Mus musculus: one gene and its partner. The protein of the gene in region 1 purifies or fractionates together with the protein of each later gene. This does not show direct contact. Links are inferred from orthologs where the notes say so. Each region holds a gene or a part of one and is shown on either strand. Other genes may lie near its edges.

Evidence for each region. Proteins that work in one complex are often made in the same cells at the same time.
Region 2: the proteins of Ipo4 (region 1) and Asf1b purify together in Homo sapiens (affinity purification with mass spectrometry; 5 studies listed by BioGRID and IntAct, counting the BioPlex papers as one, with this or other methods). This does not show direct contact. The link is inferred for Mus musculus from reciprocal best matches to the Homo sapiens genes IPO4 and ASF1B.

What each region holds. Positions count from the first base shown.
Region 1 is NC_000080.6:55,632,885-55,637,126, forward strand, and holds the start of Ipo4 (importin-4), read right to left. Parts: upstream 2,801-4,242; 5' UTR 2,715-2,800; coding exon 2,646-2,714; intron 2,566-2,645; coding exon 2,479-2,565; intron 2,328-2,478; coding exon 2,248-2,327; intron 2,163-2,247; coding exon 2,121-2,162; intron 1,526-2,120; coding exon 1,396-1,525; intron 1,311-1,395; coding exon 1,131-1,310; intron 894-1,130; coding exon 828-893; intron 723-827; coding exon 621-722; intron 534-620; coding exon 450-533; intron 242-449; coding exon 77-241; intron 1-76. Other genes in the region: Tm9sf1 (transmembrane 9 superfamily member 1 precursor), read right to left, coding at 3,335-3,728. UniProt on the Homo sapiens protein: Nuclear transport receptor that mediates nuclear import of proteins, such as histones, RPS3A, TNP2 and VDR. Serves as receptor for nuclear localization signals (NLS) in cargo substrates.
Region 2 is NC_000074.6:83,962,194-83,965,693, reverse strand, and holds part of Asf1b (histone chaperone ASF1B), read right to left. Parts: intron 664-3,500; coding exon 548-663; intron 1-547. UniProt on the Homo sapiens protein: Histone chaperone that facilitates histone deposition and histone exchange and removal during nucleosome assembly and disassembly. Cooperates with chromatin assembly factor 1 (CAF-1) to promote replication-dependent chromatin assembly.

The DNA.
Region 1 (4,242 bases):
TGAAAATACTTCCTCCCCTTAAGGTGTCTGTTTCTCTGAGTATTGGGTGACAGTGACGAGAAGGCCAATACATCACCTGTACAGCAAAGTGCTTGGGAGTCTCCCCCATCAGCCCGATCTCCAAGTCATCGTCATCCGAATCTTGATCTTCAGGATCCAGTTGGCCCATGGGTGGCTCAGCAGCCATGAGGGGGAAAAGGGCGTGCAGCAAGGGAGGCACGAGGCGGTTCTTTAGTAAGGCCTAAGAGGGGAGGGCTAGCCTTGAGCATCTTCCCAGAACAGGCTCATGGGAAAATCCCAGCCTCCCAACCACAAGGACCCCAGCCAGAGACTCCCCGTCTCCTAGGCAGGGAGAGAAGGCTGGGCCAGGGCTCGAGCAGGACTAAGCCTACAAACACAACTAATGGCGGAGACAGCAGGATGGGGTAACTTCCCCAGAGGGAACGTACCTTACTTTTGACTTTGACCAAGAAAGTGAGGCAGCAGAGAACACGTACGCGGAGTGGTTCGCCAAGGGCCACATTCTTAGCCACCTATACAGACACCGACAAGAATCAGAAACAAGCAAGAAAACTTAACGGCAAACCAGCGAGCAGGAGCAGCACCCACCCCGGGCTCACCTCCAGGCAAAACGTGAGGACCTCAGAGAGGTGGGGGTTGATGATGGGCAACTCTGTCTCCAGCATTTCATCCAGGGCCTCCAGGGCCTCACAGGCCTTTACCTGCAGACAGACAAGTAAGTCACAGGGTACTCGCTCCTCTAGGGGACCATGGTGCTTGTGCCTCCATTTTCCTTCCAAAAGGAGACCCCTCCCGTCTGTCCTTACCTCATCTAAGGGGATCAGAGTCCTCAGTGCCGTAACGACTTTGGGCACCAACATCCGTGCAAGAGACTGGAAGACACAGGAATGAGCGTAATCACATAAAGCGCAGGTGGTCTCATCCCAGAAGCCAGGAGCTGGAGGCTTCCTCAAAGCCTCCATCTAAGGAGCCAGCCAGGCCCAGCTAACACGCTATGCCCTCAACCCTTAGGAAGAACGGGAGGCGGAATAAAACTCGAAAGCAGCTTGGGCCAAGACTTCTGAAAGCGAGGGCACGAAACCGAGAGATACAGGCAGCGTCTTACTTACCACATCATCCGGCCTGACATAGCGGGCGATGGCAGTCAGAGTGCGCAGGGAGTAGAAGAGCACTCCGGGAAAGCTGACGTCACTGAGCGTCTCATTCAGAAGCTGAAGCAGCTCGTGCTGGTGGGCATGGAATGCCTCGGGCTGGGAAGACACCACCACACTCAGCAGCAGAAGTCCCACCTGTACAGGAGCAGGGGAGAAGAGACGGTCTCGTGGTCTATCCAGCCTCTGTCCCTCCTTCCTGCCAACAGGGCAGTGCCAGTACCTCTTTCTCGGGGCTATGGGAACTATGAGTGCTGTGCTGAAGAAGGTTCATGAACTGAGGCCATCCTTGTAGGCCTTCCTTTCGAAAAATGGTGGCTGAGAGCTGGGCCAAGCTGACACTCACAGAATGCCTACAAAGAGGAGGTCCATTCATATAGAAACACCTTTTACCACCCTTCCCTTGCAAACAATGCCCCAGGCCCAAGGAGTGGCCAGAAAGAGAATGCAGGTATGTGCACGGTCTTTCCTAAGGCAGACCCCATAAGACCACCGACAGCTGGGGGTGAGGAAAGGAGGGGGGCATTGTGATCTGGCTCGGTCAGCACCACTGGACAGGCTGAATTCAATTCAGTCTTGTTTTCCCTATCTGGGTTTAGCTGATCATTTTCAGCCATTCTCAAAAACTTTAGGGTTTTAGTTGGGCAGTGGTGGCACACACCTTTAATCCCAGCACTTGGGAGGCAGAGGCAGGCGGATTTCTGAGTTCAAGGCCAGCCTGGTCTACAGAGTAAGCTCCAGGACTGCCAGGGCCACACAGAGAAACCCTGTCTCAGAAAAACCAAAAAATTAAAAAATGAAAAATAAATCACAAAAAACTTTAGTTTTCACATGTTCCACCTTCTAGGCCTGAATTAAGTCCTAGTCTGGGGCTGAAAAAGAAGGTAGAAGTCCAGTATCTCAGCCCCAATCAGTTAGGACCCCCGAGAGTGGGTGCTCCACACTTACACTGTCTCTTTCTGCAGTGCTGTCAGGACCAGGGACTTGAGGCTGGAAGACAGGTGGCAAAGGCTTAGTACTCGGCCTGTCAAAAAGTAGACTAGGCCCGGCCCCTCCCATCCTAAATCTAGCCCACCTCTCCCTCTGCTCAGGTGCCAGGCGTCGCCAGCGATTGTTCAGCCTTCTGCGGGTCAGGACCGCTGCAAACTGGCGGATCTGGGGTGAGAAGAGGTTGCCAGCCAAATGAGAATCACAGGCACCAAGAAGATGATGAACAGATTAGGACCGCAGGGGGCGGAGGCTGGAGCGGGACCAGGGACACATTGAGGAATTTCAGAATTTCGGCAAGGAGGGGCAGGTGACTCGCCTGAGAGTCGGTCGCTGTTGCCAGCAGATCGAAGAGTGCGGGCAAGGCAGCAGGGTCCCGAAGGATGGTCTGGAGCTGCTCCGTAGCCTGATGGAAGGCTGGGAGGTCAAGACCGGGCCTTTCCCACAGCCTCCCCATCCCCGTAGCCCGGTCAGGCCTGCCCATACCCGGCGGATGCGCTCCGTGTCGGGCAGCAGCAGCTCCTTCAGGATCTGTTCCAAACCCGCAGGCTCCATGGCAGCTGCCGAGCCGCCGCCGACGCCGCCGCTGCTACAGGGCCGGGTGGGGAGGGGGAGGATCGGCACGTGGAGACTCCGACAGCAACTTCCGGCGGAAAGGGCGTTACTCTGCGTCTCTCCTGTCGCCTGGGTGATTCAGCTTGCTTCCCTTCAAAAACTGCGGAAAGCTGGTGGCTGGCGTCAGTCTGGGCTTCCGTCTGCCTGAGCACCCGCTGACAGAGCCTCGGCACCGTGGGTTCCCTGTGCCGACAGTTCCCAGAGTCCAGAGTTTGTGTGGCAATAGCGAACTCGGGTTTTCAAAACAACTGCATTGACAACAGGCCTCGGGTTTCTATAACTAGACCAAAACTTCCAACGACAGGATCCTTTTTCTTAATAAATTTTATTTTAATAATTGTAAAAAGAAAAAAAAAATCAGGACCAAAACGTAAGGCAACTTAAAAAGTTCAAATATATATATTCCTTATATAATAGAGATTTTTAATTTCCAGGTCCTCTCTAAAGAGGGAAGGAAGGCGACAATGCCATCACACAATTCGGTCAGAAGAGAAGCTATCAAGTGAAATCAATGGGGCATGATGAAAGCAGGAAAGAGCCAGAGTTCTGTGGCTTAGAACTCAGTCCATCTTGAGGTTAACATAGATATAACGGATGAACTTTAAAGAGGAAAAAAAGGAGATGGTACCCAGCATGAGGAAGAAGACATAGCCAGTCAGTAAAGAGTAGCCAAAGAACTCTACTGTCTGTACTGCCCCTGACATGTTAGAGCGCCGGGCATAGTAGAAAACTGAGTAGAGGAAGATGAAGAGGCCGGTGGAGCCGACGCTCAGCACGGATCGCCACCACCAGCGGTAGTCTTCCCCAGACAGCTGGAAGTAGGTGAGCGCAATGGAGATGCAGGCCCCCACACTCAGCAGGATGGCGAAGACAAAGAAGAGGATGCCGTACAGAGTGTACTGCTCTCGACCCCAGACTGTGGCAAAGATGTAGTACAGCTCCACGGAGATGGCGCTGTGAAGAGAAAAAGACAATGCACATCATTAAAGCTCTGTTCATAGCCACAGCACGCGGAGCCAAACTCAGCCACATCTTCCGGTAGCGCTGTGGCGATCAAGAGAGCTCCAGGAGGCTTCTGCCTATTAGCTTAGTTTATTAGTTGCTCTCGGTTCATGAACATCTTCCCTGACAGGCTGAAAGCAACCATCTTAACTAGAGTAGGCATACATCTATAATACTACTATTTGGGAGGCTGAGGCAGGAGGATTGCCAAATTCAAAGTCAATCTAGGTTAAAAAGCAAGTTCAAGGCCAGCCTGGAAAACTTAAGACAGTCTTAAAATGAAAGGTAAAAAAGGGCTGGGATGTGGCTCAGAGAACAGTGCTTGCCAAAGGATGCACGAGGCCCTAAGCACACTCCACTACTACAAAATGGGAGCAAGAAAGAAGTGGAGGGGGCAGATACTGTGTTGTTTACTTCCTTCTGTATTGTTTAAAAGGTACTTAACAAACTGAATGAGAAAACACAT
Region 2 (3,500 bases), on another chromosome or scaffold:
ATATACTGCTGTGCCCAGCCCTGGCTGATAAACAAGTAACAAGGACTCTTGATCCTTATTCTTCCTTGAGGGGAATAGTTCAATATTCATGAACTATGTTTATGGGTTTTATACAACTCCTGTGAACAGATCACAAATTAGTGGTCCAGTGGTCACTAAGAACTGTGACCCAGAGGTCCCCACTTCTGGGGAGGGGAAGGACATCTGATGAGACTGGGTGAGTTCAGAGTGGTGGTCCTTTAAAAGATAGCTTCAATCAGACAGCTCCTGGCAGTCAACTGAGACATGTGGCTCAGGCAGGCCTTGAACTTGTGGTCTTCCTGCTTCTACATCCTAAGTAGCTGGGATTACAGTAGTTTTGTCACCAGTCCAAGTTTAAGGATTTGAACTTAAACTTGACTGCCAAAACCAGTGTGCTTTCAGGTAAAAGAGGAAGGTTCTAGGCTTAGGTGTGGCTCAGTAGTGAATGTCTAGTATGTCAGGCCCTGATTCCATCTCCAGCCTGAAACATTTCTGGAAATCAAGAGCTAAAGCAAAACTTACTTACCTGAAAGACGAACATATGCCTTCCTGCAGGGACAGGGCCCACCAGCACTGAATCTAGGATCTGATCAAACTCCTCACTCTCAGCTGAGCCCACATAAATGATCTTCCACTCCAGGTCTGCAAGAACATGGGGGATAAGGGAACTGAGGTCTTAAATAGCTGGAGAGCAAGGCAAGGGTCTTCTTGTCAGCATTAGGCAAATCTGAATATACTAGAAGGTCCTATGAACTGGTGTGTTTGCTGGGCTGTCGGTTCTGGCACCACAGTCCTGATTAAGAGCAAATATGAAGATCTATTTTAATGGAGACATTTCTCCTGTGGGCCTAACTTGGCCAAGTGACCTTGACTCTGGCCCTCCCGGGAAAATTAGGCCTCTCAGTAGCCGAGAGGAACCATATAGTAGAGGCTGACTTGAGTCCTGTGACATCAGCTTGTGAGGGAACAGCAGGGAGTTGGGCTACCTTGGTCTCTGGGTAGGAAGTGCCATCTCATTCTCTTTCACAGAGGATTGGTGCCACCTAGTAGAGCAAATCCCTCGATAACTGGGGCAGGGTGGCAGATTCCAATCCAGCAGGAGAGCCAGGTGGCAGGAGGGGAAAGGCAAAGCTGTGGGGGGGGGGGGGAACCAACTTGTCCCAAAGTTGTCCACATCTGGCACCAACTCATGCCTACTTGTGCACATTGTGGGACAGAGGCTCTGCCAGCAAATGTTGTATGACAAGGCATACCTCCAAAACCTGACAATGTACTCCATCACTAAGGGACTCAGTCCTGGAGTATACCCATAAGAGATCAAAGAAAAAGTACCTGGAGACCCTTCCTATTAATCTCAGAAGAGCCCTGGTACTCATAGCCTCTTGTAGAGGGGCCAAGTGTTACCAGGAGCAAGGTCATGCTAGTACAGAGACGCTTGGCACCAGACCCAGAACTTATTTTAGGCTCTTTGAAATTACACAACCCCTAGCTCCAGCAGCTGGGAAAAGTTGCACAAGCTGAAATTTTCACAGAGAGCTCTTGGAAGCTGCCTGGCTCTTGGTCCAGTGTGGTACGGGCATCCAACACTGGAAGCACACAGATATCAGATCATACTATGGAGTTTGTCACCTGATCCATAAAGCTTTCCTTTATACGTCACGTCCACTCTCTTGTTCCTTCACAATCCCACCTACATCTTTCTAGGTAACCCCATGCCCATGGTTCATCAGGTTCAAACTCCAGCCTTAGTACTTTGGGGAAATTATTTAGTTATTTCATTTTTAAAGTTTATTTTCTTATGTGCCTTTCCTTTTATTTTATGTGTGTGGGTGTTTGCTTGCATGTGGGTCTATGTGCCCTTTGGTGCCTGTACCCACAGAGGCCAGAAGATGGTGTTGGGTCTGCTGGAACTACAGGTACTGTAGGGGGTTGGTCTAGTGCTGCTTGTATTCAAATGCTAAATTCTGTACCCAAGATCTGGTTACTCCATGATGAGCATATCTTCATGTATACCAGCCTTTGTTGTGTAAACCTTGCTCCACATGTTATCCCCGACTGGTTAATAAAGATGCCTACAGTATGTAGCTGTGCAGAAGAGAGGAAGGAGGGCCTCAGGTACTGGGCTTGGGGTCTCAGACAGGGAACATGGTGAGAGAGAAGGAAGAAGTTACCATGAGATAGGTGGATTGTAAGTGCATGACCTATTGGAGTAAGAGTGGCCAGGCAGAACATGGCAAGTTCTCAGTTATTGACAGGGAAGTAGACAAAATAACATAAAAGGTTGATATCTGCCCAGCTCTAAAATTTTTAAGCTTATTATAAAGGTAAAGGTTATTGTTTTTCATTTGAAAACTATATAGTCCAAGTGGGATAGAAATCCCCAGAATAATATTTACCACAACATTTTGGCAAACCAACATGGGGTGAGAACTTACTTATAATCCAAATTGAAATTTCAAATTTCCTGGATGAAAGGTATGTTGTCCCATTAAGATAGAAGTAGTTAATCACTATGTGGGATGGGAGCTAACCCTGGGTTCCCTAGAAGAGCAATCAGTGCTCTAACTGTGGAACAATCTTTCTAGCTGTCCCTAGCTATTTATTTCTTAGGAGTGCTGGTGATGGAACTTAAGGTATGTACATGCCAAAAAAAGTGCTATGCATCTGAGCCATGCTCCCAGACCCATAAATTTAGTTTTATAAAAAGTGACACTCTAGAATCAATGATTCTGGAAGGACAGAAAAGTATGCGACCCTTGCTTGGCCTCACTTTCTAAGATGGCTCTGTCAAGCTCTACTTTCTTCAGGCCCCTTCCCCATACTCCATGGTGCCACATATTCATACACTTAATTAATGTGTTGGAGGGAAGACTAGGCAAAAAAAGAGCTTGACACAGAAGAGTCCCTTGTGTCCCCAAGGCACCTAACATTGCTTAGTTTAGGTCAATACTGTTGGTAAAATCTATTAAAAGGAAGACTGTAGTGTACGCTGGAAGCATCTTCTTGACATGGGCCAGAAACAGACCCAAGAATTCACAAAAGACCACATAAATACTGACTGGCTACAGTCAGAGCTGATCAAATCTTCTACAGGGCCCATAAACTGCAGTCATTTAAAATTTGATGATTTTTTTCATATTTTCTTCCTTCAAAAGATAGATTGCACTGGTATATGCCTTTAATCTCAATATGTGAGACACAGCTTTAAAAAAAAAGACAGAGTTGGGTTTTAGAATTGGCTCTGAGGATTAAGGCACTTGCCACAAAATATAAAGACTCAGCACAATCATTCTCCAGAAAACACATGATGGAAGGAGAGAACTGACTCCAGCAGGTTGTCCTCTAACCTCTGCGAGCACTCGCACATACATACACATATGTAAAAACAAAGGAACAAATGACAGTCTTCCTATGTAGTGTAGGCTAGTCCAGAACTTATAACATATCTGCAAGCCTTCCAAGTATTGGAATTACAAGAG